Saccharomyces cerevisiae S288C: one gene and its partners. Changing the gene in region 2 together with the main gene of any one other region gives a genetic interaction. Each region holds a gene or a part of one and is shown on either strand. Other genes may lie near its edges.

What was found. Genes that interact genetically often act in the same process or in processes that back each other up.
Region 1: mutations in NSG2 (region 2) and PTC2 together harm fitness more than expected from each alone (negative genetic interaction), as found in Saccharomyces cerevisiae (2 studies listed by BioGRID).
Region 3: mutations in NSG2 (region 2) and SLM3 together harm fitness more than expected from each alone (negative genetic interaction), as found in Saccharomyces cerevisiae (2 studies listed by BioGRID).

Annotation. Positions count from the first base shown.
Region 1 is NC_001137.3:335,438-338,989, reverse strand, and holds PTC2 (type 2C protein phosphatase PTC2), read left to right. Parts: upstream 1-1,649; coding exon 1,650-3,044; downstream 3,045-3,552. Other genes in the region: anthranilate synthase TRP2, read right to left, coding at 1-1,041. UniProt on the Saccharomyces cerevisiae protein: Dephosphorylating regulator for many key proteins. Dephosphorylates the cell cycle master regulator CDC28/cyclin-dependent kinase 1; its activity appears redundant with phosphatase PTC3.
Region 2 is NC_001146.8:340,501-343,603, reverse strand, and holds NSG2 (Nsg2p), read left to right. Parts: upstream 1-1,635; coding exon 1,636-2,535; downstream 2,536-3,103. Other genes in the region: CUZ1 (Cuz1p), read right to left, coding at 264-1,088; YNL155C-A (uncharacterized protein), read left to right, coding at 1,469-1,693; IGO1 (phosphatase regulator), read right to left, coding at 2,746-3,103. UniProt on the Saccharomyces cerevisiae protein: Stabilizes the HMG-CoA reductase HMG2 by preventing its HRD1-dependent degradation. Binds directly to the sterol-sensing domain (SSD)-containing transmembrane region of HMG2, promoting its folding to protect it from degradation.
Region 3 is NC_001136.10:392,151-395,565, reverse strand, and holds SLM3 (tRNA-5-taurinomethyluridine 2-sulfurtransferase), read left to right. Parts: upstream 1-1,653; coding exon 1,654-2,907; downstream 2,908-3,415. Other genes in the region: ATP-dependent RNA helicase DBP10, read right to left, coding at 1-1,349. UniProt on the Saccharomyces cerevisiae protein: Catalyzes the 2-thiolation of uridine at the wobble position (U34) of mitochondrial tRNA(Lys), tRNA(Glu) and tRNA(Gln).

The sequences.
Region 1 (3,552 bases), on a different chromosome or scaffold from region 2:
CAGCATAACATGTTCTGCACGGTCTTTTAACGAGCCACGTAATTGGTCCGCTAAAGCATCATCCTCTTCAGTAGTAGCCCCACGTTTGACAGTACCAGCAATTGGATGGGTAATGACTCTATTTTTGGAATCCGATTTGCACAACAATTCTGGAGATGCACCAATGATTTGGAAATCCAAACAATCAATATAAAACAGGTAAGGAGATGGGTTCACTGTACGTAAATGTCTGTAAATATTGAAAGGATGTAACGAAGTTGGCCTTGCCACTCTTTGCGATGGCACACCTTGAATAATATCACCTTTCTTAATATGCTTCTTCAAAGTGGAGACGTGATTTTCGTAACCTTCCTTGCCCACATTCGATTCAAAAGTTTGATTCAATTTAATAGGAGGTTGTTCTGGATATGGTATTGGCGAGGAATCGTCGGTTAGCTTTGATACGATATCAGTGATTATTTGTGCTGCAGCTTGGTAACCTTCCTCCAACGAAGTTTCATTGGTATTAATGTTATGAATGATTTGAAATCTCTGAAAAACATTATCAAAGGCAATAATGGTATCACAAAGCATTAAATATGCCTCTGGAAGTCTTAGGACATCTTTCAAAGGCCTTCTTGTTTTTGGCTCGAAATAACGAACACAGTCATAAGAAATATAACCAATAGCACCACCACTTAATTTCGGTAAACCAGGAACATTTTCGGCTACTTTAAAGGTAGACATCTCCTTTTCCAAAATTTCCAAAGGATCTGTTTCAATGCCTTCAGTAGGACCGGTTTTGATGGTCTTGCGTGGCGAGATACCTATGAATGAATAACGATCTAATTCATTATTTGTCTTAGCACTTTCCAACAGAAATGATTCCTTTCTATCAGGGTTGTTCAATTGTGCCAATTTTAGATATGCCACGTGAGGAGTCAGATCCAATGATGGCAAATACGCATACACGGGATACATATTTATGGAACTATCGTCATTTTGCTGCTGTAATTGCTTTAGAGAGTCAATATCCGGTTGAATTTTGATGGAAGCGGTCATTTTTTGCCTTTTTTCCAATCAGAATATCAGTGCTAATTATCGATTGTGGCCTCGGTTTTAAAGTGATGATTGCCTTCTGCTACGATGGACCATAGCCCTTTAGTCATGTTAATATATCAAAATCTAACAATACTTCGATGAGTGAAAAATCGTAATGAGTCAGCAAATCACTGTGTACGTTAATGCCTTTAACAACTTTTTTTTTCCCACAAACTACTTCAACGATTGAAAGGATTATTCTAAAAAAAAAAATATCATGCTGATAAATGGAAGGGGATGGTAAAACAAAGAAAACCAGCCAATTCGGATTCTGACAGAGCAAATTGAAACTGGATATTATAGTGCTAAGTATATAGACTTCTGTTTTGTTCTTTAAAACTAAATAAAAAAAATTCACCCTCCTCCCCACGGAATAAAACTACAACAAGTTCTGTTATCAAGGACAATTAGTGTATATTAGTTGTTGTAACATTTTTTACTTTCTCTTTTTTTTTTTCATTGATTAATTATAACTATTCGTTCGAGATAGTAGTTTTCCGATTAATAACATCCCTAGGATTTTGACTATTCCATTGTTGTATAAAATATAGAGAACCAGAAAAAGAAAAATGGGACAAATTCTATCAAACCCGGTAATTGATAAAGAGAGCCACTCCGGTGCTGACTCCTTGACCGCGTTTGGACTGTGTGCAATGCAAGGGTGGCGGATGTCAATGGAGGATTCACACATTCTAGAGCCTAATGTTTTGACAAAGTCCGATAAGGACCATATTGCATTTTACGGTATATTCGATGGTCATGGTGGCGCTAAAGTAGCAGAATACTGTGGTAATAAAATAGTGGAGATCCTGCAAGAGCAGAAATCGTTCCATGAAGGAAATTTACCAAGGGCTTTGATTGATACTTTCATAAACACAGACGTGAAACTGTTACAAGATCCTGTGATGAAAGAAGACCATAGCGGATGTACGGCTACATCCATATTAGTATCAAAGTCCCAGAACTTGTTAGTATGTGGTAACGCTGGTGACAGTAGAACCGTACTCGCCACCGACGGGAACGCAAAGGCATTATCATACGATCACAAGCCCACTCTAGCAAGCGAAAAATCACGTATTGTGGCAGCTGATGGCTTCGTAGAAATGGATAGGGTCAACGGTAACTTGGCGCTCTCTCGTGCCATTGGTGATTTTGAGTTCAAATCCAACCCCAAATTGGGCCCCGAGGAGCAAATAGTGACATGTGTTCCGGACATTCTCGAGCATTCTCTAGATTACGATAGGGACGAGTTTGTAATCTTAGCCTGTGATGGTATCTGGGATTGTTTGACTTCCCAAGATTGTGTGGACTTGGTTCATCTCGGCCTTCGCGAAGGCAAGACATTGAATGAAATTTCTTCGCGGATCATCGATGTCTGTTGTGCTCCCACCACAGAGGGGACGGGTATTGGATGCGACAACATGAGTATAGTGGTTGTCGCGCTGCTGAAAGAAGGTGAAGACGTCGCTCAATGGAGCGACCGTATGAAGTCCAAGGCCCACCGCACATCAGTGCGTTCTTTTGCAGACAAGAGAAGAAGGGTGTTTAGTTACTACGATTTTTCCAAATGTAACGACGAACAGGTGTTCGCTATCACTACGAAGAAACCTCAGGACAAATTCACTCGCGACCACGAAGCCGCTGTGGCCTCGGTGACTGCCGCCGATAACGACGATCCAATGGACATAGACGACACGGACGCTGACACAGATGCAGAAAATCTTGACCCTTCCAGCCAATCCAAGAGCAAGACCTCCGGCCCCATTGATCTAGCATCCTTGGAGGCGCTACTTGGTGCTACAGGAGGAGTGAAGACAGACAGCAACGGGAACAAAGTCACCTACACTCTTCCCCAGTCTGCCTTGGCCCAACTGCTCCAAACCATGGGCCATGACCCGGCTTCCTCCCATCCCGAGAATGACAGTAACACTGACCACAAGGCCGGCCGTTCCCACTTGCAATGAAGGATCTTCCATCCTTCATTATATATACATACCTATATACGAACCGAACGAACAGAAAGAGAAGAGAAGACGCAAGACACCACCAGAACCAAGAGCATACACCACTACCACCACCATCGCTACCAACAGCAGGATATCCGGATGCAGTTTGACGCTTGAAGATGGTATTCACCTCAGGGGTAAACGCGCAGAAACTGCGCGTTTACCTGCAGCGACGCCACAAAAACGGACCGGCCCGGCCAGAGGGTGAGACCAGCAGCGGCCCCGTTGTGAAATCTCACCCCCAGTCCCGGATGGGCACGAGTCCCCAGCGCCCGTCCCATGAGGTCCTCCTAAGGTAGACAGCGCGGATGTTTCCGATGCAAAGGAGAAAGGATGGACGGTACAGACATCGTAGACAGGATTCGCGCATTGCCTTGCACATCTGTGCCCCATCCAATCTACCGTATCTATTGTTATCGTCGTGTGTGCTACTCTTTTCTCCGACAGCCTCGACAAGACGGAATCA
Region 2 (3,103 bases):
TCCCACCACCGTCCAGTGATCTTCACATTTTGTTCTAGTATTATGATTTTGATGTACATTTGATATTTTTTTATGTTTTTTATTTAAAAAGTAAGGGCGAAAATGTCTATTATTAAAAAAATATTAAGTACTTTACGTGCTTTTTAATATCGTTTTTTATTGATTATGTATCTTTAATGGGTTATTGATTTTTTTTGTTTTCTTTTTATATAGTATATACGCTTGACGTTCCGCGCGATTGTTTGTTATTTATAGTGTCCTTCTTAATTAGATTTTTCGTCGGCGTTATTGTGTACTAAATACAGAGTATCAAGATCTTTGATCTCATTAGTGACTCTTAAGGAAGCGCCAATATTATAAAATGAAACTTGTTTACCCTCTTTCAATTTGCATAGTTGAAATTTGTCATTAGAACTTGAATTAGTTAGTGTGCTAGATTTCACGTTTAGCTGGATAGACAAATAGTCCATGGCCCTACCCACAGGCCACATTTTGTTAATGTATAATGGCATTCTTGTATCCTCCTTGGCTATATCCGTCTCATCACCATCCACCAAGTAACACCAAATGTAAATCCTATTTTGCATAGGAATCTTGGGGTCACCTTTAGCAATTTTCTTGAGATTAGCCAATTGAATTATCTTATTCGACGAGGAACCGAAATTCTTTTTTGATTTGTTATTGCTCTTTCTTTTCTCATTCCTTTGGAAGAACTTAAATATTTTGTCTAATGTCTTTGAGTTCAAAGTAGAGCTCACTTTGGCAGTGTTAGAACCTCTCAAAGGCTCTCTTGTTTCACTTACTCTCTGGATTCTAACACTGGCCCTCTCAGGTAACAGACTCTTGAAATATGCTTCATCGTTAGAACTTGAGCCATCCCGGCTTTTGCTAGGACTTTTTTCAGTTTTATGAACTTCTTCATGCTCTAGCAACCACCTACAGTGGTGATCTTCCTTAAGTCTATGGTTCGAGCAGAAATCTTCATTGCAAAACGAACAATGGAAAGGTAGGAAGTCTAGTTGTCTACAATATGCACAGTGCTTTCCTACATCCAACATTCCGGTTTCTTTTTCGATAGCCGCCGACATTCTTAAATATAGCAAAAATTAGTTGATGGTCCTTTTTTTTATATCAAAATTAATGCAAGCTCTTGCAGTAGATGTACACTACAATGTGCCTATAGCTCACTGTTGTCACACTTCCGCCCTAGCTCGAGTCCTTGCTTGTACAAGCTCTTATTACATCTTTATACTCATTTGTAGAACATGCTTTTGCCACCGAAAGGAGGGTGAGGCAGTTTTATGTATATACGAACGTCGCTGGCCACGAGGGGGGAACTTTTCTTTTTATCGGCATGAGATAAAGGGTAGATACGAAATTAGCTAGACATTTAAAATATGAAAGCAAGGAAATTACTAAACTTCGAGATGTTCTTTTCCTTAAACTTCTAGTTGACAGCTCAACATTGATGATAGGGCTTATTGTAGTACCTATTTTATTTGCAATAAAGGGCATAGTAGTTGGCGTGCAAAAGGTAAAGAAAAAGTTTGGAAAGCACTCAAACACAAAGGACCAAAAAGAAGACAAGGACGAAGATAAACGACAAAGTATTTCTCAAAGAAAACAGCATACAGAATGGCCAATAGAGGAGAACCGGATCCAAAGAAGAGCACCGAATCAATCTGCTCTCTGACTAAACCGCAGCTTTATTCATTATATGATGATGACGTCGTGAGATCGGAAGATAACGAAATTTACGAAGAATTGAAACGCTCTGTCTCTATAGATTCTACCAAATATAGTAGAGATCAAACTATTGATTCGACTTTTTACTTGGCCCATAAGGTTGGCGGCTCGCTGCCAAGGAACACAGTATCTTCTAATAATTTGGAAAGGATTTTATCAGCATCATCCATTCACGAAAACTTTCCGTCAAGAACCAGACAAACTCGTCAAAATATTCTTCATTACCTGCAAGCTGTATTAATTTTGTCATTGAGCGGTTTCGCATATCATGAACTGTCCAGAAACTTGCACGATAATCATCTCTTACATCCAGATTTTGCATCGAGACCCCTTCTACTGGGTGTCAAACTTTGTAACTGGCTATCCAATGGGGTTCTGCCAAACTGGTTAGGCTACGGTGTTGAAGGACTGTTATTTGGTTCTGTTGTACCAATTCTGGATAATATTTTTCAAACAGAGGTTGTTAAGAGCTCTGTCCACCATGACAGTTTGACCTCTGTTATTAGAAGTATCAATGCCATGTTGGGAGTCACATTTGGGATCAGGAAAATACAGTGGAACTCCTCTTTGCAGGCGGCAGGGGCATGGGGGCTTCTGAATATTATACTGTGGTTGTTTTTTGACGGCTCAATATCCATGTTAATGAGCTGCATCTGCATTGGGGTGGGTTGTTGTATCTCTTGCTACAAAGATATTATCGACGGTTCCCAATTTTTATATTTCATGGATTTTTATTTCCTTGGTTCTCTAATGTTTGGAAAACTAGGAAGATATCTATATTCTCATTAAAGTCGAAATTCTGACGAGTAAATATTATTAATTAGAAGTACAAGAAGATAACATCAGAATGGCTTATCGTTTATATATAACTAATTAACGTAAACACAGTCAGCCATATGGCTGTAACACTTGACATTTCGAGAAATCACATAATAAGCGTTAAATATAAGAGACCCTTCTCTTTCCCTAAAAAAATATAAAAAAGTACAGGTTGTCTATTTATCTAATGGGTGATTCAGTATACAAACTGGACGACGAAGAGCTGTGGTTCCCCACTGGCGTTGAACTTGTACTACCACCTCCAATAGTACCGTTATTAGACGATGGTGGTCCACTCGATATACTTCCCTCCTTTTGTATCAACGTCGCATTATCTACTACACCAGCGGTTGAGGCAGTTGACGGACAAGTGCTTATCCTTCTTTTTATTATATCTTCTCGTAGTTTGCTGGGATTTGTTAATGGCAGGTTATTCTTTCCATAGTTTATTGGATCATTGTTTTGAATGCCAGCTTTCTGCAAAGCGTAATCACCACTGTCGAAATATTTTCTTTTCTGCATGGTATGCTTAAAAATA
Region 3 (3,415 bases), on a different chromosome or scaffold from region 2:
TGAGAAATGTATTCCACATGATGTCTTGTTGGAACGAACAGAATAGTTGCTTTTTCAGAAGGAAGTTCATTAGCTGCAGGCATTTTTTGTTTACGGAACTTTTCCTTCTTGAAATTCCTCCTCTTCTTTTGGCGATCATTTTCATCATCTGAGTCACTATCTGCCTCATTGTTACTATTTTGCAGCTTTTGAAGTTGTTCACTAGTGGCTAACGGAATCTTTATGATTTCTTGCAAAATATATAATAGGTTCGCCTCTCTATCTGCGTTTTTACTGGATAGAAAAAGCATTTCTAAGTTCTCTGAAACTTTCGTTTCCGCGTCCAAACGAACCAAAACTGGATTAACCAAACCAGCCTTAACAAAATCAACCAATGAATTAGGTAGAGTAGCAGAAAACAACAAAGTCTGTCTTGTTGTAGGCAAAGATGCAAGTAATTCATTCAACTGTTCTTGAAAACCCATTTCGAACAACCTATCAGCTTCATCGAAAACAACGTACTCAACACTCTTCAAATCGAGGTTCATTTCAACTTTCAGATGTAAAAATCTACCAGGTGTTGCAATAATAACGTCTGGGTTGGTCATCATCATGCCAAATTGTTCTTCCAAGGAATCACCACCAGTCAAGAGGACGCTTCTTAGTTCTGTTCCTCTGGCAAAATCCTTGAAAACGTTGAAAGTCTGCATGGCTAATTCTCTGGAAGGCGATAAGATGACTGCACGGGCGCCAATTTTACCTGAGTGACTTTTCAATTTTTCCACCATTGGCAAGATGAATGCTGCAGTCTTACCAGAACCGGTACGTGCCATACCAACAATATCCCTACTTTGCAAAATTAATGGGATAGTCTTCCTTTGAATAGGAGTGGGTTGGCGAAATCCCTTCCTTTTAATATTGTTCAATACAATTTTGGATAGGCCAAAGCTGGGAAAACTACCTTTTTTATGCTTTGTTTTCTCCAAGTTATTTGTGGAGAAATATTCATTGACATCATCCTCATCATCACCGGTTTGAGTTTTACCAGATGCATTGTTTTCATCATCTGACATTTCTAACATTGGAAATGCTGCTATTTCCTTCTTACTATTCTTTTTTTTCTTGATGTCCTTGTTTTCAGCCTTCTTCTTATTGTTCACTCCTTCTTCTTCATCTGAGCTGTACTCGATCACATCCTGGACATCGTTGGGACCATAATCAGCTTCAACTTCACTATCGGAGTCGTTAGCATCACTCTCACTATCATTTAAGGCAATTTCATTTGCAATATCAAAGGCGATGTCGTCCTCCTCGCTTCCATTGTCGTCTTGATCTTCGAGATCCCTTTTTCTTTTCTGCACGCCTGCCATATTCTAGGTTAAAGAGATATGTGGTGGTAACTTAAATGACAAAAGTACTTTTAGTGACTTTACTTCAAGCAGTAGGAAGTTAGTGAAGTACTAGTAACTCTCTGTAAAGCCATTTTGTATGAATTTCATCTCATCGCTTGAAAATTTTAAGAGCGCCGGGTAGTAACAATTGGTCTCTTATTTTTTTCTTTCAATAGTTGAGGCAAAACATTGCTTTATTGTAAAAGAATGAAAGTTTGGAAACATACAAGAACGTTAAAAATGTGAGCGTATTGATTTGGCAATCGATTCAAGTCAGATAACAATGCTGGCAAGATATTTAAATTTAATAGGACGGAGGAGTGCTTCACCGTACAGACCACAGCGGCTACCGGCAAAGTTTGACAACGTGATAGTGGCAATGTCATCTGGGGTAGATTCCTCTGTGGCGGCAGCACTATTTGCCGGAGAATTTCCAAATACCCGAGGAGTATATATGCAGAACTGGTCTGAATCACAATCTTTGGACGACCCTGGCAAGGAGCCATGCTACGAGAGGGATTGGAGAGATGTGAACCGTGTCGCTAAGCATTTGAACATCCGAGTTGACAAAGTTAATTTTGAGCAAGATTATTGGATAGATGTATTTGAACCAATGTTGAGAGGCTACAGTGAAGGGTCGACACCCAATCCAGATATCGGTTGCAACAAGTTCGTCAAGTTCGGCAAGCTGAGAGAGTGGCTGGATGAGAAGTATGGGACGGGTAACTATTGGCTTGTTACTGGTCATTACGCCCGAGTTATGCAGGAAATGAATGGAAAAGGATTATTCCATTTACTGAGAAGCATTTATAGGCCCAAGGATCAAAGCTATTACCTTTCACAAATCAACTCCACTGTTTTGTCATCTTTGTTGCTACCCATTGGCCATCTAACGAAACCAGAAGTACGAGATTTAGCGAAGTATGCAGGCCTCCCGACTGCAGAAAAGCCTGATTCACAGGGCATATGCTTCGTCAACAATTCCCAGCATGGGAAGTTCAAGAATTTTTTAAAGCACTACCTACCCAGTTCACCGGGTGATATCATTACCGTTGACCCACAATCCGGTGCCAAAACGACATGGGGCAGACACGATGGATTGTGGTCTTACACAATTGGACAGAAAGTGGGCATATCCATGCCACAAGCTGACCCTAATTACCAAGGGACCTGGTTTGTCAGTGAAAAACTAAGGGATACCAACGAAATCTTGATAGTCAGAGGAAGAGATAATCCGGCGCTATACAGTGACACTATGCGAATCGAAAACTTTTCGTCTTTGGGCCCCAGGGAGGACACTATAAACGCTTTCCAAAATACTGGTGCCTTGACATTACAATTCCGGTCCCTGCAGGTCCCAGTCCAAATTAAATCGTGCAAACTGAATCGCTCTGCCGACAACCTCGACATAACAATACACTTAGCCTCAAAACAACGTGCCATAACTCCTGGGCAATCGTGCTGTCTATATATCGACGATAGAGTCCTTGGGAGTGGGCCCATTTCCCATGTTAATAATAATGACACCCATGCATAGTGATGATAATGAATTTAGTATATCACCTTATACGATGCGCCGCAGCAATTAATCTTAGCAACATACTTGCCTAATTGAACCACGGTGGTACGATACAGCCAAGAAGAGCTCATGAAGCGGCTGACCATTTCGAAAAGTAATCTGTATATATGAAGGTCTTTTCCCTTGAATCATGTCTCAATAAGTAGTTCATTTTTTTTTGCCCTCTTGTTTTTCTTTTTCATTTTTTTAAATCACACTTTTTTTTCTTTTCAAGATTTATAAATCTTCCTTCCAGGTTTGAGCCGGACCCATTGTTTAATTAAAGCATAGAAGGCAACGAAGGAGTGGGTTATAGAATTAGCATTGCGGCAAAAACGTCATATTTATTAATATTTATTTGCGAAGGTCATATTCAACGCAATCGCACGTCCTCTTCCGTCTTTTTTCTAGCTTTTGTCCTTTTTTATTTGTCTACATCCCTTTCTCTACGGTATCCAGAAGAAGGTGTGTGTGTGTGTGTGTGTGT